Rhinolophus ferrumequinum: one gene and its partners. The main gene of each other region encodes a partner of the protein of the gene in region 4 in a complex. Links are inferred from orthologs where the notes say so. Each region holds a gene or a part of one and is shown on either strand. Other genes may lie near its edges. The genes, in order: FGFR4, FGF23, FGFR3 and KL.

What was found.
Region 1: the proteins of KL (region 4) and FGFR4 are in contact, whole or in part, in a cryo-EM structure (PDB 7YSW), measured with the Homo sapiens proteins. The link is inferred for Rhinolophus ferrumequinum from reciprocal best matches to the Homo sapiens genes KL and FGFR4. Residues at the interface, in NP_004786.2 of Homo sapiens: Ser539, Gln540, Phe541, Thr542, Asp543, Asn545, Val546, Tyr547, Leu548, Trp549, Asp550, Val551, His553, Ser554, Lys555, Arg556, Leu557, Ile558, Val563, Thr565, Arg568, Tyr571, Val573, Ala576, Gln579, Pro580, Glu625, Arg628; in NP_001341913.1 of Homo sapiens: Asp266, Gln282, Leu284, His286, Ile287, Ile289, Gly295, Ala296, Asp297, Gly298, Phe299, Pro300, Tyr301, Val302, Gln303, Val304, Leu305, Lys306, Asn311, Ser312, Glu314, Leu318, Tyr319, Leu320, Arg321, Asn322, Asp327, Thr332, Leu334, Leu341.
Region 2: the proteins of KL (region 4) and FGF23 are in contact, whole or in part, in a cryo-EM structure (PDB 7YSH), measured with the Homo sapiens proteins. The link is inferred for Rhinolophus ferrumequinum from reciprocal best matches to the Homo sapiens genes KL and FGF23. Residues at the interface, in NP_004786.2 of Homo sapiens: Phe377, Lys385, Leu389, Glu390, Pro392, Trp417, Phe418, Ser420, Lys429, Tyr432, Tyr433, Lys436, Phe437, Arg468, Ser471, Ile472, Arg556, Arg693, Asn694, Met695, Thr696, Tyr697, Ile735, Val752, Phe755, Asp756, Asn782, Asn783, Leu785, Ile812; in NP_065689.1 of Homo sapiens: Leu39, Met74, Ala80, Val88, Arg91, Leu166, Ile167, Phe169, Asn170, Ile173, Arg175, His177, Asp184, Ser185, Glu186, Arg187, Asp188, Pro189, Leu190, Asn191, Val192, Leu193, Lys194, Pro195, Arg196, Ala197, Arg198, Met199, Thr200, Pro201.
Region 3: the proteins of KL (region 4) and FGFR3 are in contact, whole or in part, in a cryo-EM structure (PDB 7YSU), measured with the Homo sapiens proteins. The link is inferred for Rhinolophus ferrumequinum from reciprocal best matches to the Homo sapiens genes KL and FGFR3. Residues at the interface, in NP_004786.2 of Homo sapiens: Ser539, Gln540, Phe541, Thr542, Asp543, Asn545, Val546, Tyr547, Leu548, Trp549, Asp550, Val551, Ser554, Lys555, Arg556, Leu557, Val563, Lys566, Arg568, Tyr571, Val573, Ala576, Pro580; in NP_000133.1 of Homo sapiens: Gln286, Leu288, His290, Val291, Val293, Gly299, Thr303, Pro304, Tyr305, Val306, Thr307, Val308, Leu309, Lys310, Glu320, Leu324, Ser325, Leu326, His327, Asn328, Val329, Glu332, Asp333, Thr338, Leu340, Phe347, His349.

What each region holds. Positions count from the first base shown.
Region 1 is NC_046307.1:5,528,723-5,535,935, forward strand, and holds the start of FGFR4 (fibroblast growth factor receptor 4), read right to left. Parts: upstream 3,016-7,213; 5' UTR 2,892-3,015; intron 497-2,891; 5' UTR 445-496; coding exon 354-444; intron 1-353. UniProt on the Homo sapiens protein: Tyrosine-protein kinase that acts as a cell-surface receptor for fibroblast growth factors and plays a role in the regulation of cell proliferation, differentiation and migration, and in regulation of lipid metabolism, bile acid biosynthesis, glucose uptake, vitamin D metabolism and phosphate homeostasis.
Region 2 is NC_046293.1:86,507,816-86,515,741, reverse strand, and holds the start of FGF23 (fibroblast growth factor 23), read right to left. Parts: upstream 3,007-7,926; 5' UTR 2,896-3,006; coding exon 2,700-2,895; intron 1-2,699. UniProt on the Homo sapiens protein: Regulator of phosphate homeostasis. Inhibits renal tubular phosphate transport by reducing SLC34A1 levels. Up-regulates EGR1 expression in the presence of KL. Acts directly on the parathyroid to decrease PTH secretion. Regulator of vitamin-D metabolism.
Region 3 is NC_046288.1:87,185,520-87,192,650, forward strand, and holds the start of FGFR3 (fibroblast growth factor receptor 3), read right to left. Parts: upstream 3,002-7,131; 5' UTR 2,840-3,001; intron 2,569-2,839; 5' UTR 2,467-2,568; coding exon 2,358-2,466; intron 277-2,357; exon of another isoform or gene 143-276; intron 1-142.
Region 4 is NC_046287.1:96,186,862-96,194,106, reverse strand, and holds the start of KL (klotho), read left to right. Parts: upstream 1-4,231; coding exon 4,232-5,041; intron 5,042-7,245. UniProt on the Homo sapiens protein: May have weak glycosidase activity towards glucuronylated steroids. However, it lacks essential active site Glu residues at positions 239 and 872, suggesting it may be inactive as a glycosidase in vivo.

The DNA of each region.
Region 1 (7,213 bases), on a different chromosome or scaffold from region 4:
GGGGGCACATCACTCTCACAGTGTATACAACACATGTGCCGCCTGGGCCTTCCAAGCTACACACAGTACACAGAACACACACACGCGCACACACACAGCCAAGGGGCTCACCACCAGCTCTGCAGCCCAGATCAGGGCCCTGGGCCCTGCAAGGCCAGTCCTCTCACGTGGACACAGAGATAGGTGGATGCTTGCTGGGAGCCAGACACTGAGTCTCAGTGGTTGGGCCCTACCCTGTTGCCACCTTCTCAGGGCTTGGGCCAGGATCCTCTCCAGCTTTGCTCAGCCAGCAGTCCCCTCCTGGTGCCCACTCTTCCCACCCCTGCCACCCTCTCCCACCTTAGAGGTCATACCCAGCTCCACTTCCTCAGAGGCCTCAAAGGACAAAGCTGGAGCCCAGCGCGCCCTCAGCAGGACTCCTAACAGGGCCAACAGTAGCTGCATCTCCTTCCTGCTGCTCACGGGGCCCAGGCTGGGCTTCCCACCAACGGCCTTCCTGAAACAGGGAGGGAGAGGAGCCCCTGCTTCATGTGCACCTTGGCTGGCGCTGTTCCCCTATTTTGTGGATCAGAAAACTGAGACAGGAAATGGCGGGCCATTTGTCCGAGACCCCCTCCCCCGCAAGCGGCAGGGCAGACTGGAAGCAGGTCTGCTCTTGCAGAGCCCAAGGCTGCCCCACAGGAGGTTGTGCAGGGAGGCGAGGTGGGGCTTCCTGCTCTCCGAGGGTCCTGCTGAGCCCCTGGCACAAGTTCACAGAAAGGGCAGTTTGGGGATTCTTTCCTTGGAGGCAAGCAGAGAATGAAGACATATCTTCTGCTCGCTCTCAGCACACATAATTTATTTTTTTGCTGAATAAATGAATTTATTGCTGAAGAGCGGGGGGGGGGGAGAATCTGAAATATAAAACAAGGCCAAACTTTAGCATCTGGATGTTATCTGATCTGACCCCCACTCCTTATTAGCATCGCTGACATTTTCACAACCAGCTTTGGATCCGTCCAGTGGCAGGGTGCTCACTACTAACACAGCAGCCCATCCCATGGCCGGCAGAAGTGCTTCCTCATTTGGCACCAGAATAGCATCCTGGGAATACCTCTGCTTTTCCTCCACAACCTCATCTCAGGCAACAGTGGCTCTTGTAAAGAGTATAGACTCTGCTGTCTGACAAAAGCAGGTTCAAATGCTGACTTATCAACTTGCAAGTCCCTGGCCCCGTCTGGGCCGCTGTCCTCACAGGACTGCATTGAGGACGAAAGAGAATATATGCAGGAGCTGGGTACATAGAATGTTGGAATGTTCCCCTGCCCCTTCCCCTCCCCAGGAGGACGGGTACTCTGGGTCTGCCCTCGGCCAGTCACCTCCAGTTCTGGCACTGTTCTTGTTAGGTGTGATGTACACACCCACCCCATCTGGTTACCCTCTTCCAGAGGCCACTAAGGATGTCTCCAACCCCTAAAAGGAACACTCAAACCCAAGCATCAGGTGGGGCGGGGAAGAGGGTGACCAGCGTGGTCCGAGGGGCCTACTGCCTATTCCCTGGGGCTAGGTAACAGTTAGGTGGCACTGTTATCTCTGGATCTACCTTGCCCAGGAAGGCCACTGCACCCTCTCGCCTCAGCTGCTGCCCCCAACCCAGTCCAGCTCTGGCTCTGAGGCAGGGGGTACTTAGCTCGTCCTGGCCAAAGCCATTATCTCCCTCTTCAAACTGCTTCTTTCCTGGGTTGCACCTGTAGCTGGAGCATCATCCCTTTCCCTGCCCTTCCCAACTTCTAGTCCATTCTGCTTCCTCAATCCTTCTCCAGGACAACCCACATCCCCTGCCTGGACCCAGAGTAGGCCATGGTCATCTGTAACTTGGGCCTTTGTGAACACTCCCTGTGCTCTCCAGCCTCGACTCAGCAGCAGGGCTTTAAAAATTACAAGCCGGAACTGTCACCGCCTTCCTGCCAGCTTCCAGAGCTCTAATGACTGTCCGTGTCCAGCAGGATTCAGTGCCCACTGTTTGTCCAGCATCCTAGGTCTCCTTGGCCGGCCGATCTTTGGTCCGGCAGTCAGCCCCTTCAGCCACAGGCTTTCAAAACTGGGCACGTCTTTTCTGCTGCTCATACCTGTGTGCCATTTCTCTTCTACACCTGGCTCAGATGCCACTGTCTTAGCACCCACCTCCAGTTTCCCACCCTCTGTAAAAATCCTCCCACCCTCCCCTCTGCAGGGAGGGCAGCTTTCTGGGGCCACAGCTCCGGTTGGGAGTGAGGTGGGGAGGTCTGGGGATTTTATTCCACACCCAGGCTACCCTGACCTCAGCAACTCGGCGCCCTTAGTTGGATCACGCGGACATGGGGCCGAAGGGCCTGACTCTAGCACCGGGCAGTCTTGGGTTCGCCTCCAGCCGCCCGTTCGCCTCTAGCGCACAAGCACTGGGGGACCCTGGACAAATGACTGCACCTCTGGGAGCTTCACCGTTCTCATCTCGACTCGGGGTTCGCAGACGGTCCAGCAGCTGAGGGACCGGCGCGCTCTTCCTCCTCCACCCCTACCCCGCCACCCTGGGGGGAGGTGCGAGTCGGCGGGTCCTCAGGGGGAGCTGCAGAGACAGCCAGCCCGCCCCCGCCCGGGTGGGCAATGAGTAACCAGCTCCGCGGGCAGGGTGCTCTTTGGACGGAGTGGGACAAAAGGCCCTGTGTGCGTTGCGGGTTACTGATTTACCGTCCCCTCCACCCCCCCCACACCGCCGAGCGGACGCCCAGGTCCCCAGTACTGGGAGGGGGCAGCTCCCGCAGCCCCGCCGCCGCTCGCCCCCTGGCGGCTGTGAGCGCAGGCTGGGCCCGCACCAGGTCCGCGCTCACCTCGAGCCTCCGCGGGCCCGCTCCCGGCAGAGGGTCCCTGCTCACCTGGGTCCTCCGCGGCCCCGCTCCTAGCTCCCTCCAGCCCCCGAACCCGGCGGGGACCGCAGACTCAGCCCGGGCGCTCCTCCGCCCCGGGCTGGAGAGCCAGGAATGCACCCACGAAAGCGGCGTGGCCGCGGGCGGCCCGGCGCCCCGCCCACCTAGGCCCCGCCCCTCCTGGACCAGCTCTATCCTGACAGCGGTGTGGCTGCGGGTGGCGCACAGTCCCACCCACCTGGAAACCAGTCCCCGAACCCAACAGCGTGGAGCGACCGACGGGTCCAGCCCAATCCCGGGGCCCCCAGTCCGCTGCACACCCCCTCAGACTCCGCCTGTTTCGCCCCACCCAGGCCAGGCTTCGAAGTTCTAGTCTATGCTCTACCTCCAGCTTGTCACCCCTGGGGAACAAGACCCAGCAGTCCTGAGCGCCCCCCCGCCCCCGCCTCCACTAACCTTGGCCCAACCTGGCTCCTCTGTCTTCCTAGCAATAGCCATATATATAGTGTCTAGCAAACCCCCTCTGACCCCCTCCCCATCCAATCTCGGCACAACCTTCAGGGTGGTATTTAAAATACAAATCTGACTATACCAACCACAATCACCCCTTTCAAACTTTCCTTGGCATAATCTGCCCCCTGCCCACGTTTCCAGATGAATCCTTCATTCACTTCTTCCTTGCACACACTCTACCTCTGGGCTTTACACTTGGGGGTTCCGCCTCCTAGAAAGATCTTTCCCGGCTAGGTCTGGTTAGTTCCACCTCATTCTTAGATCTCTGCTCACTTCCTCAGAGAAGCCCTCTGGACTTGGCCAGGTTCCTCTTCTTACGTCTTCTCTCCTGTGAGCCTGGAGAAAGAAGCGGAGGGTTGGGTGGGCTGGTGAAGTGATTAAGAGCCCAGATTGCAGGACTCAAATCTCAGCACATCAACACATGGCCTTGGCAAGTTACTCCATTTGTGTCTTCATTTTTTCCTCAGTAAAACGGGTATAATGATAATGTATCAGCCTCAAAAATCAGTTGCAAAAAGTAGACATGTTAGTATATGTAAGCCTTTGGAACACTGCCTGACATAGAGCACTTGCTTTGTAACGCAGGCTATGATCATTTAGGACCTATTATTTCTTTTTTTTTCCTTCAAATTTTTAAAAATTTTCAATTACAATTGACATACAATGTTTTATTAGGTCCAGGTGTACAACATAGTGATTAGACAGTTATATAACTTATGAAGGGATTCCCCCAAAGTCCAGTACCTCTCTGACACCCTACATAGTTATTACAATATTATTGACCATATTCTCTATGCTGTACTTTACATCCCCATGACTATTTTTATAACTGGCAATTTTTACTTCTTAATCCCTTCCCCTTTTTCACCCTTCCTCCAACCTCCCTCCCATCTGGCAACCATCAATTTTTTTCTCTGTATCTATGAGTTTGTTTCTGTTTTGATTGTTTTGTTTTCTAGATTCCACGATAAGTAAAATCATATGGTATTTTACTTTCTCTTACTTATTTCACTTAGCATAATACCCTCTAGGTCCATTCATGTTGTCACAAATGGCAAGATTTGATCCTTTTTTTAATGACTGAGTAATATTCCACTGTACATACATACCACTTTATCCATCTATCTTTGGAGACTTAGATTGCTTCCATATCTTGGTGACTGTAAATAATGTTGCAATGAACATAGGGATGCTTAAGTATTAATAGAACCTGTTATTTCTTAATTGCATGTTCCAGAATTGTAGCTAAATAGCTAATTTTGTAAATGGAAGGCAGAAACTGCCTCCAGACTTCACCGTTACAACTCAAGTGCCTGACACATAGTAAGTGTCCCCCAAATAGTTCTGCCCTTCCAGGCACAAGTCTGCCTTACCTGCAAGCATTTCTCTCCTGAGCGTCTTGACAGTGGCCAAATAGGAGGTCAGCTGATCTTTGACTTCTGTCCAACCCTAACCTGAGGTCCCAGCCCTTTGCTCCTCTAGGTTCCTGGAGGAGAAAGGGAACCCCTCAGTTGGGGTCTCAGCTCACCTCCCAGTTAGCCCAGGACCAGTGGCCAAGGGGAAGCAGGGTCCTTTCCTATTGTTATGGCAAGGCGTCTAGTCTCTTAGTCTCTCCACCCCTACGGAAGCTTTTCCTTTGCATAACTAAAAGGCTCGTTAAAGTGATTTGTTTCTTTTATCTTTCTTTTCCTCCTCAAACAAAAGAATGGTCTCCTTCCAAAGATAAATCAGAAAAGAATCAGCTGCTATCTTTTAAAAACAGCTTGTCCTGGTTCCCCGCCTCCGGGGTCCCTCCTTGCTGGAGCACCCAGGAAGCTTGAAACGCCTGGCACTGGTGTGCCAGCAAATGGTAGCCTCCTTCCCAGAAGGGGTCTCACCAGACTCCCAGAAACTTGGAGAGACGCAGCCCCCACCTCTGGTCCTCTTCTGGCTCTCGTAGTGAATGTGGTTGTTGGGGGCCCGGTGGCTGCCAGCAGGCGCTGGACCCCACACAGCTTTCATTCAACTTCCAGGAACTTTCCAGTTTACCTGAGCCAAAGGCAAAGGCTGCCTGCCTCCTGAGATGGTCAAATCCCTTAGATGGGCAACCTTCCCCCACTCCAGCGCACCCACACATCACTTACCCGGCCCCCCGCCCACACTCACAACCTCTCACACTGACCCTTTGCAGTGTCTGACACTCTTCTCACAAGGTCATTCATTCATTCACTCATTCATTCGCCAAATGTCCCCGGGGAAAAGCAGTGATCAGACCCAGCCTCTACCCTTCTAGGAGCTGCTGACATTGTAGTGGGGAGAGATATATAAGTAAACAGCACAGAAGGAGACCTGTTGAGGGTCCACATCCAAGCCTGTCTCCCCCTCAGAGTCTCACTCTTGTTAACCATCTGTCACCAGTTCACATTTGTACTCTCTCCCAAAGACTTTCAAACGCACACACCCTAGCAAGGGTTCAGGAGTCTGCCCTCCTAAGATCCTGCCTTTAGCTCGCCTCTGCCTCAGTTTCTCCATCCAGAAAATGGGCATACTCCTGCTGCCTTTTCCTCAGAGGCGTTGGAGGAAATGCACGAGTTAAGAGATGGGAATGGGTGTCTCCCAAACAGGAAGTAAAGTCCTGGCCGTGGCTGAGCTCCCGGTAGCTGCCAGGCACGTGCCAGGCTAGGTGTCACCCATACATTCTATCTTTTGACCCTTCCCCCAAGCCAAATGGGGGTAGGGTTCCTTAGTTCCATTTTGCAGGTGAGGAAACGGAAGCTCAGGCAGATGGAATGACTTCTCTGAAGTCACATAGCAAGCGAACAACAGAACTGAGACTTGAACCCTGATCATTCGGGACCATGAGGGAGAGTTCAGGGTGACCCCACGGAGCTGGGATTGTCTTGCTAACACATGGACACACTTTCTGCTCCCATCCTTAAACGTGGCCGGGAAGGTGGAGACCCACCTGAGGGTGAGTGGGGAGGGTGGGCTGGGTCCAGGCGTTTTTCTCCCTGCCCATTTGGCCAGTACTGATGGGGCACCTATGAAGGCCCTTGTCAGGGCTTGGAGATTCTGGGCTCCTGGAGTGCCAGGTTGGGCCAGGCCCCACCCCCACCTGCCTGGGAGCGTGGTGCCAACCATGTTGCTCTTGGATGGCAGCCGGGCCCAGGGAACACTGGGGCTCTTGTGCCGAAGGGCCGCCGGGAGCCCCTGCCCAGGCTTCGCTCCAGACCAGGCCTGGCCCATCCTCTGACCCAGCCCTGGGATTCCTTGTCTTCTTTCTTTCCTTTAAAACAATTTTTATTTTGAGAAAGTTTTAAAATACAGAAAAGTACACAGGGTAATAGCATACATTTGCTACTCAGAACTCACCATTGTTCTCACTTTACCATTTTTCCAGGCATTTTCTACCCTGGCTTCTCCCACAGGCTCCAGGGAAGTCTGGCTTGAGTCATTGAAACGGAGGTGACGTGGACAGCAACTGAGCAGTGGTGAAAGGTTGGGTGTTAAAGCCAGGCAGATGTGGATTTGAATCCTGAAACTTGGTGCCCTTGGATAAGTCACTTACTGTTAAGCCTCAGTTTCATTTTCTGTAAAATGGGAATAACAGCTCTTCTGTGAGAACTCAGCGTGTTGATATAAAGCCCAGTGCACGCAGCCTATGTTCACTAAAGAGTGGCCAATATTAATGTTGACAACTATGGGCCCCAAGGTATGGGAAACATACTCTTGTGACCAAGAGGGAGGGACTGTGAGGGTCACCCCTTCTCCAGCCTTCATATCTCCTCATTCCCCACCCATCGGGCACTTCTATGTCCAGTTTCTATCCGAAGATGACA
Region 2 (7,926 bases), on a different chromosome or scaffold from region 4:
GTGAGAAGCATCTCTTTTCTGCTGCCTCCAAAAATGGGGCTAGTGGGCAATGGGAGGGTGGTGCTGTTCACAGTAGGACAGCACATGGGGACACGGGAGAGGCTCCCAGACACGAGCGCTGTGAGTCTGAAAGGAAGTTATAGAATCTTGTCGGCAGATAATGTCACAGTGACCAGCAACCCGAAGACCGATTGGGCTCTTGACTATTAATCAAGACTTTACTAAAAAGCACAATAATCAAACGAAACATTTCACTGGAAGTCTATAAATAATTAGGAGGGGAGAAAACCATTCCACACCTTCCTGTTGGTTTAAAAGTATTGCTTTATGCTCGCTGAGGCGGTAATTATAAATCCTCTGTTAATTAGTTGTGCTACCTACCTACATGCACCAATGTTTCCTCTCTCCTTTTGATAACTCTTCATTTCAGGATATATATATATATATATATATATATATATATATACACATATAATTTTTGGTAATGCACATGATAACTGATTTGAATAGCACAAAAGAGTATATAAATTAAGAAAACTGTCTCCCTCCACCACCCTGACCTGAGTTCCCCTCCCTAGGTTTGTGTTGATATCCAGAGGCACAGTGCTTAGCTAGTATCTATATCTGACAAAACAAAATCACTTTTCTGTCAAAAAAAAAAATCTGAAATCAGTTCAATTCATTTCGCTTCTTTTCAGTCATTTTATTAGGTTGGTGCAAAAGTAATTGCAGCACCTGAAATGTATGTAATTTTACTAACAATTGTCACCCCAATAAATTAAAAAATAATAATAAAAAAATACTAAAAAAAAAGAAGTAATTGCAGGTTAAATGTTTAAAATAATTGCAAAAACACAATTATTTTTGCACCAACCTAATAATTAATTCCAACTAGTGCTCAGTGCCTCTTGTGGGCCTGCGGTCCATGGATATTTGAGGGAAAGTTCTACAATTCTGCCTGCCTGCTCCCCGGTGCTTGCCTGGGCCCCACGCTGCAGCAGTGAGCCCATCACAGCTGGCACACACTGTTCCTCTCTATGTCGTGTTCAGGAGGACATGTCTTTCAGTGAAGGGAGTCCATGATTCTGGACAAGTTTCATCAGCATTCTCTAGTTGTATGAAGTCTTTTCCATCTATGGGAATCAAGATAATTTACCATAATTCACTGTCATGCATTTTAAATCACTTATCACCTTGCAGTGGAAGTGAGGGTGGCCCGCTATGCTGTGTCTTCCTTTGTAGTCACAGAGCTTTGTATGATGTCACACACATCACAGGTTCTGTTAACTATCCACTGGATAATATGACTGGCACTCTGGGTGCCTCAAGTGTATCCAGATTTATTGCAGGTTTTTGCCGTTAGACTCAAACTTGGCTTTCAAGATGTTGACTCCTGAATTCTACTGTATCTATGTGAGTTCTGGAATCTGTTTGGTATTTGGACAGACCTTTTCTCCTTCCTCTCACCTCCTATCACCACTCATTGAACGCTTGCAAAAGTTTGAACTGTTGGCTTTGCATGTGCATGTATCTTGCCACCAGGTTTAAGGACCTTTGATTCTTAGCAAAATTAGTGTCTTGCATACAGCAAGGTCACAGCAAAATTACTGAGTAATTTAGTATAATAATGAAGAGTAAATTGGTATTCCTATAAGAAGTTTTCTTTGAGTAAACAGAGACTGTGATTATTCTTTTGTTCCTTTAATTTGATCTATATTGAATCAGTGTGCATTTTTCTGTTTCCTTAGAGTAATTTTTACATATTTTCATAAAATAGAAGATCTTGTCTTTTTCAATATCCATCCTCCCTCCTACCCTGTTATCTTTTATAAAGGTGCAACCAAGAGACCCTCATTTGAATAATAAATAATTGACTATTGTGGACGGGTGAACCAACTTTCAAAAACCTAATCTTTAAAAACATTCCAGTTGTCTTGTGTAGGCAAAGAGTTTCCAACTAGCTTAATCTGCTACTGAATGGACCTGTCAGCTCCACAGAGAAGAGTCAGTAATTCATACCAAAGTACCTCGAAGCTCCCAGTAAACCTGTTGGATGGATGGCTGGACGGATGCATGCACGCATGCACAGACAGATGAGTGCATGAATGGCTTGTATACTTGATCAGACTCACCAAGACAATATACCTGGATAGCCTGTCTTTAATACATTTTTCCTGATAACTTTCGTAAGGCCAGAATACAAGAAGCTCAGAGTTGGAGTTGCAAAGAGCCGCTGAGTTCATCTATCCCAAACCTTGGTGTGGAATCTTCTTCACAACCTCCATTGCTAACCCAGTCCAAAGTTCATGAGCTAAAACTCAGCGTTTATTGACCTATCTGCCTTTTTTCTCTTAGCCTTCTTGCTGCTCTTTCTGCACATTTTTTGACCTCTTTGGACAGGACAAAGAGAAAGTGGCTGCTATTGTGGGAAGAGGGATTTTAGTTAAGACAAATTATTCATGTTGGGAGAAACCAGTAAATACTAATTAGGGAGGTGGCAGAATCTTCTCCCAAGGTTTAAACACACACACACACACACACACACACACACACACACACACACACACACACACAGGTCCTGGGCAAGAAGCTAGGAGGCTGGATTAGCCCTCTGACCTAATGCAAGGTATCCCCAAGTCCCTTGTAGGTGGATGGACAGAACCCCCCTTCTCCACAGCCAGAATGAAGCCCCTACTCACTGTATATGGTCTGATGGGGTGTGCCATCCACATGGCCGTCCTTGTGGATCTGCAGGTGGTAGCTGTTCCTGGCTGTGGCCGTGTACAGGTGGGTCAGGCCACCCAAGCTGGAGCCGAGCAGTGGGGAGGCATCGGGAAAGGCTCTGACTGCACTGCACAGGATGCAGACCAGGAGCCCCAGGCTGGGCCCCGACATCACTGCTCTCTGAGTGGCTGGCACAGAATTGAAACCTGACACTGCCCCCTGACTGTGGGCTGGCCTCCCTGGCCTTTTTCTCCTCTTCTTCTTTGTGGGGATCTGGTGTGAGGATCCCAGGCTGGGTTCCCTCCTTTTTTCCCTCGGACTTTTAAAGGGTAGCAGTGTGACATCAAACAGGAAAAACTCCACTGTCCACATCCTCTGTGTTGTAATCAGCCCATTTGAAGAAAGTGCAGAGACCTCTAGGGCTCACGGAAGGCACGTCGGTTCCAGAAACACAGGCACACAAACCCCTCAATTTCAAGCCAACGCTCCAAAAAGTGAATGATGTGTGGGCAAAAGTTATCTACGACTCTGGGTTGTCTGTTGTTGACCTGTCCCACTTCCAGCAGGAAATGTGAAGGCAGCCAGTGGTTCCGAAAAAATCCATCTTCAGTCATGCGGTCAACAGACTCCTGTGCAATTAATCTCCCATTGAGTTTATTCATTTTGGTTTTCTCAGTTCTTTTAATCCATTCGGCAACTATATGTTCAGGGCTTTCTCTGTGCACAGCACTAGCTGGGTGTTTTGAAGGATACAGAAATAACACAGGGCACCATCAGGCAAATGGTACCCTCTGAGACCCATCTCCTCCTGAAGACATGGGAGCTATGAGTAGAGGTGCAAAAACCAAAGTTGCCATTTTGGGAAGAGTTCAAAATGGGAAGAAAGAAACAACGCTTTGAAGTCACTGCTACTCTACAAAATGCTGAGGTTTGATTTCTCAGTGTCCCTGGTTTGGACTGTCTAGGGCAAGTATTATGGTCTCTCCAATAGTTTGGAGACTAATTCAGAGACCTCATGAAGATTGGAAGACCGCTGGCTGAGCACAGGAGGTCAGAGGCCAGGAAGGACCCAGGAGTGCAGTAGCAGGCTAGGCTGTCCCCACAATGAGTGTCCTATGGGTGTCTGGCTCCTGGGACTGGACCCTTTCTCACAGATGCTGCTCACAGGTGTGTCCTCTGGGAAGCTGCATCTGATGTGGAGGGATAGTCCTAGCACATGCAGTCCAATGCGGAGCAAGCCACTGGAATGCATACTCGAAAACATACACAACAGGAGGTTGTGGCTCTCCCAATTTCCCGTTTGATGCATTCATACCATGTGCAGGCATCAGGCTAGACATCGTGGTTGGTAGAAGAGCGAGCAAGATGTGATACCCGCATACAGGACCTCACAGGCTCATGGAAGAGGCAGATAAAAATAAGTAAACATATACAAAACATGATGGATTGTGCAATGATATAGGTGCAGGACACAGGACGTGTCATTTCTCTTAGAGTTTCTATAATTTACAAAGCATTTTCTCTGTATTAACTCATTTGAATCTTACTGCCATTCTGTGAGACAGGCACACCCGGCATTACCAATATTTTAATTTTATACACAAAGAAATGGAGATCTTGGGGTTCATATGTCCAAAGTCACAAAGCAAATAAATGGGGGAACTAGGACAAGGTCTTCTGATTCCCAAAGCTGTTTCTCCAATAATAACCATAGTTGCTACTAACATGTATCGAGTACTTAACTAAGTGCTTTATTGTAGTAACTCATTTAATCTTCATAATAACCCGTTAAAGAGATGCTGCCATTTCCTTCATAGAGATGAGGAAACTAGTGCACATAGTTTAAGTAATGTGCCCCAAGGTGTACAGCTGATATGTGGAAGAGGTCCAATTGGAATCTGGGCAGTCTGACTCCAGACCGTCTAAGCACTTTGCTAGAAGATGTATGAACCCCACAACATGTTAAGAAAAAAGCCAGAGAGCTAAGGGCTCGGTAAGAAAGTGCAAGTAACAAAGAGGCATAGTATGCTTCAGTTTTTCTCTAGCAAACCCAAGCCTTTGCCCAGCATGTGTCTCTACGGGGCAGGGTGCAGTCTTCTCGGGTTAGATAGGAGATTTAGGACATTTAAATGCTCATGGCTACAACAGTCTTCTTTAAAGGTGTTCACAGAATGATCCTAGGTGTAGGACACTGTCTTGTCTTCCAGCCCCCACCCCCCAAGTGTTTGCTTTGTCACCTGCTACACTTGATCATCCACCTCACAGTTACCCACCTGTGAATGGTGCCTGGAAGTGTTTAAATTCTCTTCTGGCTGGCTCGATTCTCTTCCCCTGCCTTGCTTATAATGTCCACACTGGATTAGGGATAAACTCAAGCAAGGCAGATGCCTTTAATATAATATTTAATATCATGTATGTAATTATATATTTTATAATTTAATATTATAGATCATTATAACATCAGTGTCAGCCCAACAGATGTAGTCAAAAGGAAATCTAAACATATAAATAGAGCCCTTATTATACAGTCTGAAGTGAAATACAAATGACTTCTGTAATATTACAGGATCCGTGCCACTGCTATCTTGCCTCTGGTGCCATAACCAGAAGCATATTTTGCTGGACACAGAGGGGTTAGAGCACTGCAGATGCTTTCACTGGGGAACCCCAATAAATTAAAGGTCATAGAAGAGCTGGAGGGCAGAGGACACAGGAGAAGTCCAAGCGATTGATCCCCAGCTGCAGCCCCAAGCCCCTTTCCTTCCCCACCGACCCCCCCACCCCATTCTCCACTAACACCCTTCTCACTGGAAACCCTCTCCTGGCCTCCACCTCTACAGCTTGGGGGAGATAAGGCGACATGTGTCCCAGGCTGGGAGAGGCCAGGCCCGTGTGAATGATTTCACAAAAGTTTCACTTGGGTTATGCTTGTTTCCCTCAGAAGAAAGCCACACGTGGGGTGGAGGTAGCGTGTGAGACACAGCTTTTGAATTAATGATTCTCAGTGTAAAGTTTATGAGTTTGTACCTCCTTCCTCAAACCCTACACATACTCACATTTCCAGAGGGCTCCTTGACTCTCCTTTGTTTCTCTTCAACACTATTTACCTTCCAAGAAAATGTTTTTTACTTTATAGAAATAGCACTTTTTAACTTTTCAAAATACTTTCATAATGATCGTCTCACACGTCCCTTACAGAAATGGTCTCCTTGGAGGGGGTTGCTCCCAAACTGTTACTCCTGCACATATCCCTGTGGCTTGCCAGACCTCATAGCCTGGGCACTTCATGGCCCTTGCTGGGGTAACTGAGGTCCCAGCTTTCCCTACCCAGTCCCCCTCAGCACCCGTCTCCTCTTTGTGCCTTTCTGAATCAGAACCCCACCTGGCGTTTTCCGAGCTTGGGAGACTTACGAATTGTGAATCCATTCCCTTTCCTCTTCATTTTCTTCCTCTTCCTCCCCTGCTAACTCCCCCAACCAGCGTGATCAAAAGGTCTCTTTTTCCCTCACTTTCCTCTTTGTGTGGGTCATAGAAACGTAGAATCTCATAATTGGATGTTGGGAACTTAAGAAATCCTCATTATTTTCTGTTTTTACAATGAGGGAAAACTGAGGACCAGAGGTGACTTAGCCAAGGTGACACTTAGTATCAGAATCAGGCTTCTCACTGTCAGCAGGAGTCCCCCCACCACACCACAGTGACATTTATTCATTGGAAGGGAATCAGGCCACCTGGATTCTGAGCCTGCCTCAGGACCAGCTGGGTGACTCTTTTCACCTGCCGTGCACAGTTCGCTCCTGCCTCGTCGGTAACACTTGGAACATGGGGTGCTATGGAGAGAAAGGAAACGCCCGCTTTGCGCACACATGCCTCCCTGCCTCCCTAGTCCTCGCACTGGCCCAGGCATGGCACTGCTTGGCTTCCCATAGTTTTATTTTCCCCACTTCGGGATGTTAACTCCTCTAAGTGCCCACAGTGAAGGTTTTGGAATCATTCCTGGCACAACTATTTTGTCTCCGGTCTGGGTCTTACCCTTCCCAACTCATGTCGTGTAGTGGAAGAGCAGACCCTGGCGGCAGAAGTCCTGGAAGCCGCCTTTGGCAAGCTCATCTTCACCTGTATGGGTCTCATTTCTGTTCTGTGCTGAAGAAAGGGACTCAAGTAGAAGATAGATACCTGCTCTCTTCCAGGCGGGGGAAGAAGGAGCAATGTCTGATTGCTCTGCCTGAAGTTTTGTCAGGCCGCTTCTCCCATTATCCCGTTCTGTGCCTTTGACCAAAACGAGAGGGATGACAGTGATGATTCCAAAGCTGGATTCTGCCCAAGGAAGGAACAATAGACACTTTGGATACACACGGTCCGTCTGACCTGATTGGTGCTCCAAGGCTGCCCATCGGAACCCAGCCCGCCCTCTCAGGATGCCTGGGGCTTGTCACGCTGCCCACGTCAGGGAGCAGACATCCTGGTTCCCACTCACCTCCTTGGAGCCTGTGACCCAGGCCAGCCCACCATGTTTGGAACTCTGCACATCCGGACCATGTTATCTCAGGATCCTGGGACTCCTTGGCTCCCCTGCCCTGCCTCCTCCCCTCCCTGTGGACACGTAGCCACCACAACTTCTCGGAGGGCTATTTCTAGCTGAGGGGCCGGTAATTCAGCCCCAGCCTGTCAGGTCAGGCCGGCTGTGTTCTGCAGCTGGAACGGGCGGCCTGACACATTGTGGGTTCAGCAGAGTGCAGGATGTTGGGGCTTCCGGAGGCAGGCATCCCCCAGCCTGTTGGAGGTCATGGTTGCTGAGACGTGGGGGTGGGGGGTGGACAGGATGCTCCTGCCACATGATTGGGAGGAGCAGGGTGTCTAAGGAGAGAGGCGAGAACTCAGCCTCCTCACACCTCCAGCAGTTTGCTGTACTCGGAACCAATCTCGCCTTTTTCCTGGCATGAGTCATTTTTCTTTAGCACAGCTCAGAGTTAATACAGTCCTGTGATTGAATTACGCAGGTCCTGTGTTAGACAGACTGGGTCAGAAACCAAGTTATGCCCCATATCAGCTATGCTCTCTTTATCACGTTGCCTCACCTCTTTGAGCCTCAGTTTCCTCATCTTCCAAAAAGGAGAATATACTTGTGCCTGTGTCAATGTAAGAAATGTTCAAACCTATAGAGAATTTTTATGAGTTTACTTGAGCCAAACTGGCAACAAT
Region 3 (7,131 bases), on a different chromosome or scaffold from region 4:
GACAGGCCCCAAGTGGAACCTGAGGCCCTGGAGGGAGGGGGCGCTCATGGGCTCAGTGCAGGGGCTCAGAGGCCACAAGTCCAGCCGGGGGCTCAGCCCAGGTTAATGAACCACCCAGACGCCCTAGAGGCTCAAAGTCCAGCTCTGTGGAGGAGGTAGTGGGAGAGGTTGCAGCCAATGCCTTCCGGGAAATGGTGAAATAGTGCACTGAAGAGACCCCTTCAGGCTGGGTGGGTGGTGGCAGCGTCCTGCTGCTCCCATCAACCTCCCTTCCAGGTAGGAGACCCTGCCCAGACCCTTACCAACAACATGGCCTCGTGTGGAGGACCCTGCCTTGGTAGGGCCTGAGGTGACCAGGGCAGTCCCAAGCTGACACCTTTCCCACCGAGTCCTTGACCCTGGCCAGCTCTGGCTCCATAATTTATGATCCTGGGAAAGTGCCAGCCAGGCCGGACCTCTGGAAATTTCATGAGGCCTTTGTATTTTTACTGCCCGGCCCATCTCTTTAAGGAACTGGATTAAGTTTGTTGACCTATCAACTCACTACCTGTTTCACCACCTTTACTGCGGGGACGGGAGTGCGGGGGCGCCAAGGCTGTGGCCAAGGGACAAGGCGCCCAGCCCCCTCCCGCATCCTTGGAGGTTCTTCCTATCGCTCTACCCACGCCCGCACCCGGTGGGGGCACCACAGGCTCTGCGTCCCAGGACCGGGCCTCGCAGTCACCGCCAGTTCCGGGAAGGGGGGTGGATGGAGGAGGCCACTACCCCCGCGCGCAGCAGGGGGTCCGGGAGAGGGTATGGAGCCCCGCCCGCTGCCCCCTCCCCTGGAGCTAGTTGACATTCCCTGGGCGTAGAGAGTAATATCTTTATCTGAATGCGAATGCTAATGCAGGGCTCCCCCCGCGGCCGCCTATTCGGCGCCCCTGGAAGCGGGGGCCGCCCGAGCAGGCGTAAAAGCGCGCGCTGACCTCCCGACGGCCTCTGTCACGCCGCTGAATGACACGCACATTCAAGCGCTGGGCCCACTTTCATTCATAAAAAAATGACATTGTTCCGGGAGGCTGCAGCCGCTGCCGGAGAGAGGGGCGCGGAGAAGGGGGGGGCCGCAGGGAGGGGCGGGCCGCCATCTGCCTGTGTCCTGCCGGCGGCCGCCGCCTCGCTGGCACGGCGCGCCCGCAGCCGCTGCGCTCACACCTCCCCGCGAGGCTGCCCCGGCGCCCGCCGTCAATACGCGTCTATAGCCACGCCGAGGTACAAAGGAGCGGCTGTTCGGGTCCGCCCGGGTGGGGCGTGAGCTCACCGGGCTAAGGCCTCCCTCCGCGCGGCCGCCGGGCAGGGGGCAGGGTGCGCACAGCCCACTCGCCGGCGCCCAGGAGTTGGCTGTCCCCAAGGGGCGGGCTCCCTGCGGTCGGCCGCCGGACCACGCGTCTCCGCCCTGCCGCCCGGAGCCTGGCAGCGCGCGTTAGGTGCGGCGATACCGGGATCGCCCGGTCGGCCTCCGCTGGGGGCGAGCGCTACACCTCCAGGGCCGCGGCGCGTGTGCGGGGCGGGGCCTGGAGCAAAGACGCGCTCCGCCCCTCCGCTGCCCTAGCTCAGCGGGCGGAGCCCTCCTCGAGACCCTCGACGTCCCGCCGGACCTTGACCACCAACTGGGGTCCGCGGCTCCACGTCCCTCGGACGTCCGCCCTCTCACCTCCTGGTGTCCCCCCTGGCGTTCGGCGCGCACTTCTGGGGAGAACACACCTTCATCCACTGGACATGAGAGTAGGGTGGGGGTACGGAGGCACTAGAAGGTGTCGCCTTGTCATGCAGGCTACTGGGTGGCAAGGGCCGGGCCGCGGGCTGACGCACTCTCATACCCTCCCTCCAAAGTCCTGCCCCTCGCTTTGGCCGAAGCTAGCCATGAACTGGGGCCCTAGAGGGGTTGGGGGAACAGCACCAACAATAGAAACTTTCCGTCACTGCAAAACCCGCAGAACAACAATAGGAATCGTGGAGACGCAGCCCCCACGCCCTCCCGATGGCGCCTGGGGGCAGACTGCGCCCACTAGGGAAGAGCGGGGGCGGGAGCTGAGGACGCCACCTCGTGCCCAGTTCCCTGCCTCAGCCTCGCACTTGGGTGGTAGCCCTGCGGCTCCAGGCGCCCCACAAACTGCCGCGCCAGCTCTGGCCACGATCGCCGGGGAGGAAGGGCGGCAGAAACCCGGACACTGGCCTCCCGGTGCCAGCCCAGTACGCGCCTTCGGACCCACTCAGATCCGCGGCCCCACCACCCAGGCGTCCGTTCCCCGGCCGCGATGCCCTCTGCCTGCCGGGGCCCCAGGCCCCTCTCCTGTGCCCGTCGGATCCTTCCTTACCTGCCGCTCTCCGCACGACGCGCTGCTCCGCACCCTGGGGCCCCGAGGCAGCGCGGGTCACAACCGCCACGGCCACGCAGAACACGAGGACGCAAGCCGGGGCGACCATCGCGGGGGCAGGGGCGACGGCTTTCTCAGGCGGAGCGCGTGGGCATGCTGCCCCCCATGGCCCCGCTCTGGCACCGGCGGGAGGAGGGCGCCGCTCGGGAGTCTGCGGGAGGAGGCAGGCAGCTCGTTACCCTGGCCGCCTGGCGCCGGCCGCCTCCTCCCGCCGCGGTCCCTCCCTCCTCCCCCCTTCCCTCCCTGGCTGCTGCTGAGCCCTCCCAGGGCGGCGGCGGCCGCAAACTTTCCAGAGCGGGAAGCCCGCGCCCCGGCCGGGCCTCGCCATGGAGATTGCTCGGGGTCCCGGCCCGCCGGGCGCTCTGGCCCCGCCGCGCGCCCACCTCGACCCCACCGCGCCTGCCCGGCCCCCGCGCACCGACCTGGCGGCCGCCGGCGCCCAACTCGCTGCGCGCGGCCCTTGCTTCGGCTCGCTGCTTGCCGGCCCAGCGCCTGCGCCCCGTCCCTTCTGCCGTCGGTTCGCCGGTGCGTCCGTGCGCCGGGCCGAGAAGGACCGCGCGGCGCCAGATGCCCGCGCCGCCGCCGCCACCGCGCACTGAGCCTAGGCGGCCGGGCGCGCTGCAGCCAGTGGGGGCCGGCCCGCGCGCGCCCCGCCTCCGGCCCCGCCCCGGCCCCGCCCGCCCCGGCGCGTTCGGGAGCGGAGACACGCCCCTCCCCTGGGGCGGTCCGGAGGCGGGGCCGCGTCTCGCCTCGTCCCCGCCCGCGGAGGGGATTAGAGGGGGCGGGGCCGGGCGGGGCCGGGCGGGGGCGCCGGGCGGTCTCCGAGGGCGTGGGAGCCGGGGCTTGAAGGGTGAGGTCTCGGTTCGCACCGCTAGGCGCCCAGGGAGGCCAAGAGCAGGCCTCTGCTCAGCGCGCAGTCCGGTTACCACCCGGCCGCGGATTGGGGGCTCAGTGTGGTCTCGGTGGGTGAAGCATGTCTGAGAGGCTTCACCTAGAAGGTGCTGCCCACGCTGAACCCAGACATGTGAGCAGCCGGTCTTCGGGTGCAGGAGCGCCGGACGGTGTGGGGGCTGGTGCTGTGAGCAAAAGCCTGAGGGTGAAGGGCCGCTCTGCCTGTCTGCTTGGGGCCAGAGTGCAAGAGGACGGCACCCCAGAAGCTGTGGGCTCACTGCTGCATTTATTAAGCACCTGTGGCACATGTAGCTAAGCTGCCTGAGTTCCCTGCCAGAGGGAGTCATTATCCTGCATCCCTAGGTGACAAGTTTGGAGACTGGGTGTTTGACGGGCATCAGAATGGAGAGCAAGGGCTAGGGGCCCCAGGTGGGGGGCCAACTCTAGAGCTCTGAGGAAGGATCACGAGGGGAGCTGCTTGCAAAGTCTGAGCTGGCCTGAGATGTGCCAGGCCCCGGGGCACTGCAGGGTGGTGCAGAGCTGAGCTGGGGAGGACCCCATGTGACTATAGCTTCTGAGCGCAACTTCACAAGGGGTCTCTTCCACTTTCAGGCAAGCCCAGAAGTGTTGAGGCCCTCCAGGAGCAAAAGAGGCGAGAGGGTGTCACCTGGGCATGGCTCAGAGGCACCAGCCAAGTGCCTCGGCCCCCCCTGGCTGTGGCTTCTAGGACTCGGTTTGCACACCAGGCAAATGAGCAATAAACGCCCCTCTGACTGGCTGCTGGGGCCACCCACATCTCAGGTGCTACCTCTGCTGCCAGAAGCCACGGAGGTCAGACTTCAGGGCCTGAGATGGGCCCCACCGCCAGGAAGCCCTCACACCCATCCCTCTGTGCCCACCTGGCAGATCAGCCCCTCTCTGCCACAGGCTGCCATCACTGCCTGCTCTGGTTATGACCATGTACCCCAGACGGAGCGGGGCCCACTGAGCTGTAAGTGGGCTGTCCAGACCCCTCCAGTGCATAGCCCCAGGACACCCACATTTAGGTCCTCCTCCAGGATATGCCATCCCCGGGGCCACAGTGACACATTCTGCTCTAATCTATTACCTGGTTACTTAATCAGTAACTTAGTATGCCAGGATGGATGTGGACTGCTGGTCCCCTTGGCCCCCTTTCTCGGAGTGGGGGGGGCTGGATTGGGCTTGACCCCCCCACACACCCATTTTTTTGTGGAAAGAGCTGGCAGGTGAAGCAGGATCAGCCTGGGTGGGGTAGGCAGGAGGGGCCAGCTGTCGGCACCTGAGGCCTGGCCTTCCAAGGCTCTTCTGAGGTTCAGGAAGGGCTCTGCATTGTCTCTGGCACGTCCCTCCCCAGGACGGCGCCCACAGCCCCTCCCTGGCCTCCTGGTCTCTGAGAGGTGAGCAGCCATCCCTCTGTAGCTTTCTGCTTTCTGCCCCCAGAACTGTGACCTTAGCAGAAGTGCTCGTGGTGGGGTGTGGGCCTGTGTGAGCTGTTCTCTACGTGCCTCCCCCCGCCCTGTTCCTTCTCCCAGCCATCCCAGCCCCACCACAAGCCCCATGCAGTATCTCAGGCCCTCTTGCTCTCCAGCTTCTATGTGGCGTTCGCCAATGGGCATGGCCAGTAGCAGCAGAGGGAGGCAGGGGATGGGCACCTCCACTTTTGCCCCTCTCCCCGTCCCTCGGGCCTGTAGGGGTGGTGAGCCCCCTCTTCCTCCACTAATAGGCCTGGGTTGACCCTCAGTTCTTCACACCCTGTCTTCATTTCCCAGATGGCTATGACAGATTACCACTAACCGATTGGCTGAAATTTCCTCTCACAGTCGCGGAAGCAGAAGTCAGATCCAGGTGTCCAGCACTGGGCTCCCTATGGAGGTTCCTGCCTGCCTCTTCCAGCGTCGGGGGCTCCAGGCATCCCTGGGCTTCTGGCTGCATTGCTCCAGCCTCTGCCTCCATCGTCACATGACCACCCAGCACTTATAAGGACACCTGTCATCAGAGGTGGGTCCCACCCAGATGCTCCAAGATGATCCCCTCATCACAAGAGCTTCCCTTAACGACCCCTGCAAAAACCCTTTTCCCAAATAAGGTCGCATTGTGAGGTTCCGGGGGCAGGCTGAGGCTGAGGACCGCTCCTTTGGAGGCCCCCATTCTGCCCACCACACACCTCGTGCTGGCTGGTCCCTTTGGTGTTCCCGCCCACAAACGAAGTGGTCCCTGCATTTGGCCTCTCCATTGGCTCAGTGGTGGCATTTAGGTCAAAGGTCAGGAGTATTTTTGTGGCTCTGGGCTGAGTTGGCCAAATTACTTCTAAAGGGTCCAGGCGCGGCCCCTGTCAGCCTGCCAAGGGCGTCACTACCCACTTGTCCACCCTTGTTCTTATTATCATTGACAACATAAAGTTCCTATTCCCAGGTCCGCTGCTGCCTGGAGTGTGGTATGCTTCACAGGCCTTCCCATGACGTGGGCGCAGGCCCCTTGTTCATGGTGCCTTCTTTGCCACAGGTCCGAGATTTCGGCAACTCTCCTTAAATGAGCCGCGAGTAGCCACTGTTTCACCACAGCCCCCTGACGGAGCATTTTCCCCAGGACCCTCTGCAGTATCGTCTGGCACCTGCCCAACTGAGGTAGGTGAGCAAGGTACGAGAGTGAAGAGAGCCCGCTGAGGGCGTGTGGTGGCGCAGGAGTCTGAGGGGCAGCCAGCCAGCTGCAGGGGACTCCCACACTGCTAGACCCCTCAGTGTTCACACCTCCCTGCCCACTCCCCCATACACCCACCCCGTCTCCCTGAGGCCCACACCCCCAGGACTCCTGAGTGAAGGTAAGTGTGGAAGGCCAAGGGCAAGGTGAGAGAGTCAGGGGGCTGAGGGCAGCCCAGCACCACGCAGCCTGGTCGGTGAGTCAGAGCCAGATGGCCCGGCTTGCTGGGGCCTGTGCTCGAGCTCCAAGAGGGCTGCCGGGGGGGGGGGAGCCGGCATGCAGTGTGCCCTGGGTGCAGCTGGCCCTGTGTTTACCCCACCTTGCCTCTCCCTGCCAGGCCTGGGCTGAGGCTGGGGACATGGCAGTGAGGTGCCCTCAGCCTCGGTGTCCTTCCTGCTGTGGACTTAATCCACATCCCACCTGCTATCCACAGAGCTCCTGGCAGGCAGTGGCTGCCACAATGCCCGATAGGTGCCCGTCAGCGCTAGTGCCAAGGTAGGCGAGCCCCCTGATCAGCTCCCCTCTGGATGAGTGCCTGGCCCACAGAGAGCGCTGCTGGTGGGAGATTCTCTCTGTCCTGCCCCAAGGCCAAGAGAAGGGAAGGGGACGCTGATGCCCCAAGGGAACTTCAAGTCCCTTTTTCCCTGTCCATCTCTTCCAGGAAGCTCTTGGGACCCCCGGGGGTCTGCTCGATCTCCCCCTGGCAGCTCACCATCTGCAGCGCACATCCATACCTTCCAGGAACACTGCAGGGCACAGGGCCGGGGTCCCGGGAACAGGGCAAGCCACCACAGGATGGAGCAGGGGGGCCTCTCGATGACGGGCTGAGCTGGGCTGGGCTGATCCCCAGCCCCCAAAGAAAAAACAGCAAATTTGAGAGAGGCTGTGGCTGTTGTGGATTGTGGGTAATTTCTGCCTTTTCAAATGTATTCTTGGAAAATTTGAAGAGGGTTAAAATAAAAAAGCACAATTGATTTGCTCATTATAACAGAAATGGAATTTTAAAGAAAAAGGACAAGAGAAAATATTCCAAAATCCATTGGCCACCACTAGCTACTGTCACGATCCTTAATTTTAGCTCTGAGCTTCCTGGTAGGCTGAGCAA
Region 4 (7,245 bases):
CATCAGAGACATTCCGAACTCTAATGCCACTGTCTTTTCAATCGTCTTGGGCTTGTCAGCGGTGTCTCAGGTGTACCACATACATCAGCACTTAAACTACTGCTCAGCGACATAGTTTTGTGTTCTATTTCTTGTTGTAGCATCAGAACTACCTGAAGTTTTAGTAGAGTAGGCTTGGGACGTGGCCTACCATAGCACGTATGCAGGATATCAAATATGGCACTGTTAGGACCATTTCTCTTTCTTGTGCTCAGGGAAGATGTTACCAATGAATCACAGCCTCCTTTAGAAGCCAGGATGTGGCTTCACAGTTCTCAACAATGTGCTTCGGCCATTTCTTACCAATTCATTCATTCATTCATTCGTTCATGTATTCATTCATTCCACAAATGTGTGTGGAACACCTATAACGTGCAAGCACTATTCTAGGTGTTGGAGATACTGCAAAGAAAAAGCCAGATTCCTATTCTCATGGAGCTTACATTCTTCGGCCATTTCTTACCAATTCATTCATTCATTCATTTGTTCATTTATTCGTTCATTCCACAAATGTGTGTGGAACACCTATAACGTGCAAGCACTATTCTAGGTGTTGGAGATACTGCAAAGAAAAAGCCAGATTCCTATTCTCATGGAGCTTACATTCTAGCTGGGGATACAGGAAGTAAACAAGTAAACAAACAAGATAATCTGAGATAGTCATAAGTTCTGTGAGGAAAATCATTGAGAGTCACTGGGGATAACAGCTCTGGACAGAGAGGTCAAAGAACGCTGCTCTCAGAATGTGGCTGCTGCTCTAAGACCTGATGAGGAGAAGAAGGCGGTCCCTGTGAAGAGCATACCAGAGACCGCAAACTGCCAGTCACAGGCCCTGAGGCTGGGAGCCAGTTCGGCTTGTTCCAAAGACAACCAGAAGGCGAGTGTGGCTGGAACAGAGGGAAGACTGGGAGAGCGGTATCAGAGGGGGGCAGGGTCGTTGGTCTATTTCATTAACTGCTGCCTGCCTCGTGCCTAGAAGAGGGGTCGGAACAATGCAAACATTAGTTTAAGGAGTAAGTGAAGGTCGAGGCTTTGATGCGACATAATGATAGAACCTATTACAGACCTTTTATGGTCTGACCCCTCGCTACCGTTTCAGTCCACTATTTCCTTGCACAGACTTTTATTTTTTTAAACCACAAAAACACGGTGAACATTGTTTGCTTCCATGTTTTGCTTCCTTATTATCCTTGCCTTCAGGTCGCCTTGCAACTTCTACTCTTTAAACCCCAAATGTTGTCACCTCTGTTCTGTGAAACTTTGCTAGCCCCCTCAAAACAAGACAATTTCTCCTTCCCCTGAATTCCTCTAACAGCTATCACATGTGTCATTTATTACTGTTTAACATAATAAACTACAAAACTTATTTGTTGTCAACTGTGTTTATCCCCTTTCTCTAATCCAGCATTATCTTTGAGGGCAGGGGTTGTCATGTAAGTCTTAAGCTCTCCACGGTGGCTTTGCCCACACCGTTGCTCAGAGTGCTGCTGCTGACATATATTAGTAACTCCCCGTGAGGCTGAATGACTGTGGCTGGTGAGCTGAATGCCCGTGAGGTTGGTGTTGTGTTTGGGCCCATGTGGGTCAGCGAGTCTCCTTCTGTTACCTTGGCCAAGGAGGGCTCCGGGGGACCCCAAGAGCACACAGGGCAAGAACTGGCCAGAAGGGACAGGATGAGGATGAAGGAATGTGTCAGCTTGATGACCCCCCATTAGGTTGTTGCAAATCATCATCACGACAAAAGTCAATAAGTCAATTTAAAATTTTCCTTTCCTTCAATGTACCAATAACTTCACATTCAAAACACAGCAAAGAATAAAACTCTTATTTGTGGGAGAACAAAGCATTGAATGAAATCCACATTTTAGATGTTCAAAGGTGGCTGTGAAAGGTAAGAACTGAACAAATGAGAAGCAGCAGTAGCAGTTAGTCACACTTCAGGAATCCCAGAACATAATAACCATGAACAGAACCTTGATAAACATTGAGTTCTGGAAACAAAGTTTAATTCTCATGTAATCTTTATCACTGGATTAAATAAACTATCACCTAGGAACATCCCTGCAAATGCTGAAAGCTTTGATGTCCAACTTAGAGGATATAGCACTTTACAGCCCCCTCAGAGAGAGATGAACTTTAAACGTGAAGCATTTCGTCAACTTGGTCTTTCTTTTTAATAACTTCTCTAAAAAATAACTTTTAGAAATGTATTGTTGGTTAAATAAAAGTAGCAATAGATACAATCTGCCCTGAGGAAACAGACCATACAGACATCACTCAGTGAACACTTAGCCAACACTATTTTCTGTGATACCCAGGAAGCATTTTTAATTGAAACTTAACAAGTTACAATGCAGCAAACACTCCAGTCTCTAGCTCTAGAAGGGAAATGTGATCCTGCATGCAGGCAGAGAAGCCTTTTAATTTAGCTGGAAGAGTGTGACTATGCAGTTGAGTAGTGTAATTTTTTTAATTGCTGAAGTGTCATTGTTTTTTTAGTTCACATTTAATGGAAAATGTAAATGCCACATGCAACAGAATAGCAAAAAGTCTTATTCCAGTCTGCGGGCTTGGTCTTACTAATCATGATAATACATGCTAGCTGGAGTTGGGACTATTTAATAAAATACCAAAATAAAGGTGTTGTGGTTACATTTTAAGGGAATTAATAAAAGTACCTTCATCTGTAATATTTAAAACTTTACAGATTTTAAATTTATATGAAACAGTGCAGGGGTGCTCACTGGATGAGAACGGCTGTACCTCTGGGAGGAGCTTCGTTCAACACAGGTTGACAGAAGCACACCCCATTGAAAAGGGAGGTACAGATATTAGCAAGATCTTACATTTGTCGGGGCTTTTCCTGGTTCAGTCATCTGTGGGCTTCACAAGTTTCTAAGGTGTCAGGGCAGACATGGCTATTTCCATTGGATAGATCAGGATCCTAAGGTGTGTCCTGGCCACGACCACAAAGGTGGAGCCCCGGCTTCCCATATACACGTATTGGAAGGGACACTGTGTCCCGACAACTTCTGTCAAAAGGGCTCTTTGGCAACTAGACAAACATCACGACTCTATTTTGTTGCAGAGGGAGTGGTTGCTTGGGCTAAATCCCTCCTCCCCTTTCTCTTCACAGCTCAGGTGACATTTGTGAGCCGCAGAGACCTCTGGCTCCACCACAGCTGTGTGCACAACTTCACACAGATAAGTTACTTGGCAAGCTAGAGCTGAAAGCGAAAACACATGATTATTCCTCAAAATGAATGAAAAACGGTAATAAACGTGAAAGACGGTTACTCAAAGTGGAAACGTTGGTGTTTTGTTTTCTTCCCTTTTTCTTTTTAGAAGAACAATCAACAACTGTCACTTGAAGCTCACCTAGTCAGTCTGCAAGATCTAATTAAAGAGCAAGCCCTGGTTTGAAATGGTTAAAGGATAACAATAAGAGAGAGAGGAAAGAAAGTTCTGAGGCAACCCATGCATCTCCCGTATCTTCCTAGACTGGGGCCTGCAGGACCGCCATCCAGCCCTGCGCGAGTGAGCGGCTCTCCGCAAGCATCTCAGCCACAGACTTGAAGGAAAGTCCGCCTCCAGCCCTCTCGCGACAAAGTTCCGACCTAGCTATCCCACCTTGCCTTCCCAACACGATTTCAGCCAATTCCTAGTAGGCTCTAGTCATGTCAATCTAACGCTTTTCTTGGCCTCCCAATGCGAGTAAAGAGAAAGCAGGTGCTTCCCGCTTGCGGACCCGCGAGGCCGGGCAAAGACCCCGGCCGCACTCGGGGAAAGTTGCTTGGCCGCCTTCCCTCCGGGACCCACGCCGGCTCGGTGCCTTCCTCCCGGAGCGCGCGCGGATGGGGAAGAGAAGGCGGCGCGCAGAGAAGTTGGGGCGCCCGAACATCCTCCTCGCTCCGGGGCGCAGCGAGGAACAGGTGTTTTCTCTCCGGCGTCCAGGAGGGGCGCCTGCTGCCCCCTGCCCGCGGTCGCGCCCCCTCCCCCGACACCTGCTTGCCCTTTGCGCCGGGTTCCTCCATTCCAGGGTGGGGGAGGCGCCGACTCGCAGGTAATTATTGCCAGCGGGCCCGCGGGGGAAGCGGGGGTGGGCGAGCCGGAGGGCGGCGGGCGGCGCGGCGGGGGGGGGGCGCGGGCATAAAGGGGCGGCGCGGGCCCCGGCGCCCCGCTCCAGCGCAGCATGCCCGCTCGCGCCCCGCCGCGCCGCCCGCGGCCGCCGCTGTCGCTGCTGCTGCTGCTGTTGGCCCTGGGTGGCTGTCGCCTGCGCGCCGAGCCCGGCGACGGTGCGCAGACCTGGGCCCGCTTCGCGCGCCCTCCGGCCCCCGAGGCCGCGGGCCTTCTCCACGACACCTTCCCCGACGGCTTCCACTGGGCCGTGGGCACCGCCGCCTACCAGACGGAGGGAGGCTGGAGGCAGCACGGCAAGGGCGCGTCCATCTGGGACACATTCACCCACCACTCCTCGACGCCCGCAGGCGACCCCCTGGTAGCCGGCCTCCCGTCGGGCGCCCCGACGCCGTCCCCGCTCGCCACCGGGGACGTGGCCAGCGATAGCTACAACAACGTCTTCCGCGACACAGAGGGGCTGCGCGAGCTCGGGGTCACCCACTACCGCTTCTCCATCTCGTGGGCGCGGGTGCTCCCCAATGGCAGCGCCGGAGCCCCCAACCGTGAGGGGCTGCGCTACTACCGGCGCCTGCTGGAGCGGCTGCGGGAGCTGGGCGTGCAGCCCGTGGTCACCCTGTACCACTGGGACCTGCCCCAGCGCCTGCAGGACACATACGGCGGCTGGGCCAACCGCGCCTTGGCCGACCACTTCAGGGACTACGCTGAGCTCTGTTTCCGCCACTTCGGCGGCCAGGTCAAGTACTGGATCACCATCGACAACCCCTACGTGGTGGCCTGGCACGGTTACGCCACCGGGCGCCTAGCCCCCGGCGTCCGGGGCAGCGCACAGCTCGGGTACCTGGTGGCGCACAACCTCCTCCTGGTGAGTTCGAGGGGCCAGGCGGAGGGCCACGCCGGGGACGGGGCCTCTGGAGACGCCAGGGCAAGAGGGGTGCCCGAGCCTTCAGCTCAGACGAGGCTCCCTATGAACCGCTTTGTGAGAGCGCACTCACCTAGGATTTGCACAGGGTGTAGTGACTGAGCAGTTCGGGCTTCCTTTGGAGCCCATTTGTCAGAAAGAAATTGGAATAGGTTTCTCCCGTGAGAAAAAAAAAAAAAAGGAGCTCCTTTCTCTGGGTGTAGAGGAATCCCTAGAGGTAAGGTGGGAGGATTTACTAGTAGCTTTGGGGAGAATGAAGATGGTGGATGAAAGAAACAAGCTTGTTCCGAAGCTGCCCAGACAGCATTTCTCTCAGCTGGAGTTTGTGGAGATGGCAGGAATTCAATGTTAATCCAATAAGATCTGTCTTGCTTGGGATTCAAGTTCACACTGCAGCAAATGCAAACGTGTCAAAATCTCATCTCTGGGAGAGCAGGTTTAAACTGTCTTTGGAAGTTCTTTCCATTCAACCTTACTTGTCAGGGGTGTGAAGACCCCCCAAAGTACTCTTAAAGCTAGCCATAAAAATACATACACAACTACAGGGGAATATAGACTGTGTCCTCCAACAACTGTATTTCCATGATGCTCTCTCCACTTGGCAGGATTCCTCTTGACAAAATGGATTTTAAGACCCTTGTACAAAAAGCTTAATAAATTTTGGCAGCAGGAAGTGTTGATATGCCATGATAAAGTTGTCTCCCAAACAATCCCCCTTTTCCTCCTTTACTTAGTGTTCAAGATTAGGTCCCATTGATTTGAGGATTCTTTTAGAGTGATGCCAGGTGTTGGTACACTTTATACAGAGTTTTGTATAGCAAGAGAATATGTTATGTATATGTGCGAACATTTTAATAAAAGTGTTTACGTGTTTTTGGAACTGTAGTTTGGTGACTTGTAGGCCCACTGCAAGACCTATTTTTAAATTTAGAATTAAGCCACATATTTTGAGCAAATTCAAGACAAAGACCACTTCTACATACTTTTAATTGAAGCCATAGATAACTGAGGTAGAACATTACTGGGTTATGGAGTTGATTCAGTACTCAGAGCTGCCAGTAATGTTGTAATAATGCTGAATAGATTGTTTGTCAGCTCCACAAAACCACAGATCATAAAAGAATGTTAGGTTTTTGGGGAAAAAATGCAATTTTAGTGATTTCATATTGCTGTATATCTTTTCATTAAGGTATGTTAGAGCAATGGTAATAAACTTTTTCATTCTTGCCATCCTTTTAAGGAATCAAAAGACCCTAAGCACTACCTGTTTATGGTTGGTGGTAGAAAAACTATTGGGAAGAACTGGCCCCCTCTTTTGAAGATAACATAAGCAAATTTCAGTTCATACCAGAAAAAAAAAAGAGAGAGAGAGAGATTCATGGACCAGCTGGAGGACCTAGTAGACCATTTCTGCAAAATCACTACTTTAGATTTAAATCACACGAGTTATATTTTTAGAGTGCATGTAATAAACTCTGCATGTATACAAAAGGTGTCACTTGCTATTTTAGTGACTTACATGATCACTTTATTTATAAGGTGAGGAATTGGGACAGCAGGAGTGTTCTGATGTTTTAAATAGTCAACATGCTTTTGATTCTTGTGTCCACTCTCTGCCCTGTGATTAACTTTTCACAAAATTAACTAATCACAAAAATGTGATTAACATTTTTGTACCCTTACACAAAAAAATTGGCCAAACACTAACCATTCTTCCCAGAAATGCAGTGGACTTTGTGTTCATAAGCTATTAGTGACAGGTGAACACTTGGTTTTCCTGATGCTGAAAACAAAATGCTAGTTGCTGTAAAATATTAATTTTGCTTTCAAATTTCTTTCCTTTGGAATTTAGTCATTTTTGTATCTTACGAAGCAAGGTGGCATTCATTATCAAAGACAATATCTTAACTTTTTTCATGAGATATTTTCATTCTGTTTTCTATGTTCTTTCTTGGTGTATGTGTTGGGGGAGGGTGGGGAAGTTTTGATCTTATTGGAAAAGATAAAACATATTCTGCAGGTTTTGTTAATAGAACATTTTCACTGGGCCTTGGATATTGCTGTTGGGGGCCACTCGCATATTGGGGGGCTCGCATATTCATTTTCATTTGGGGATCTGATGCTGGTGAAGGACAAAGCTGGCCAGC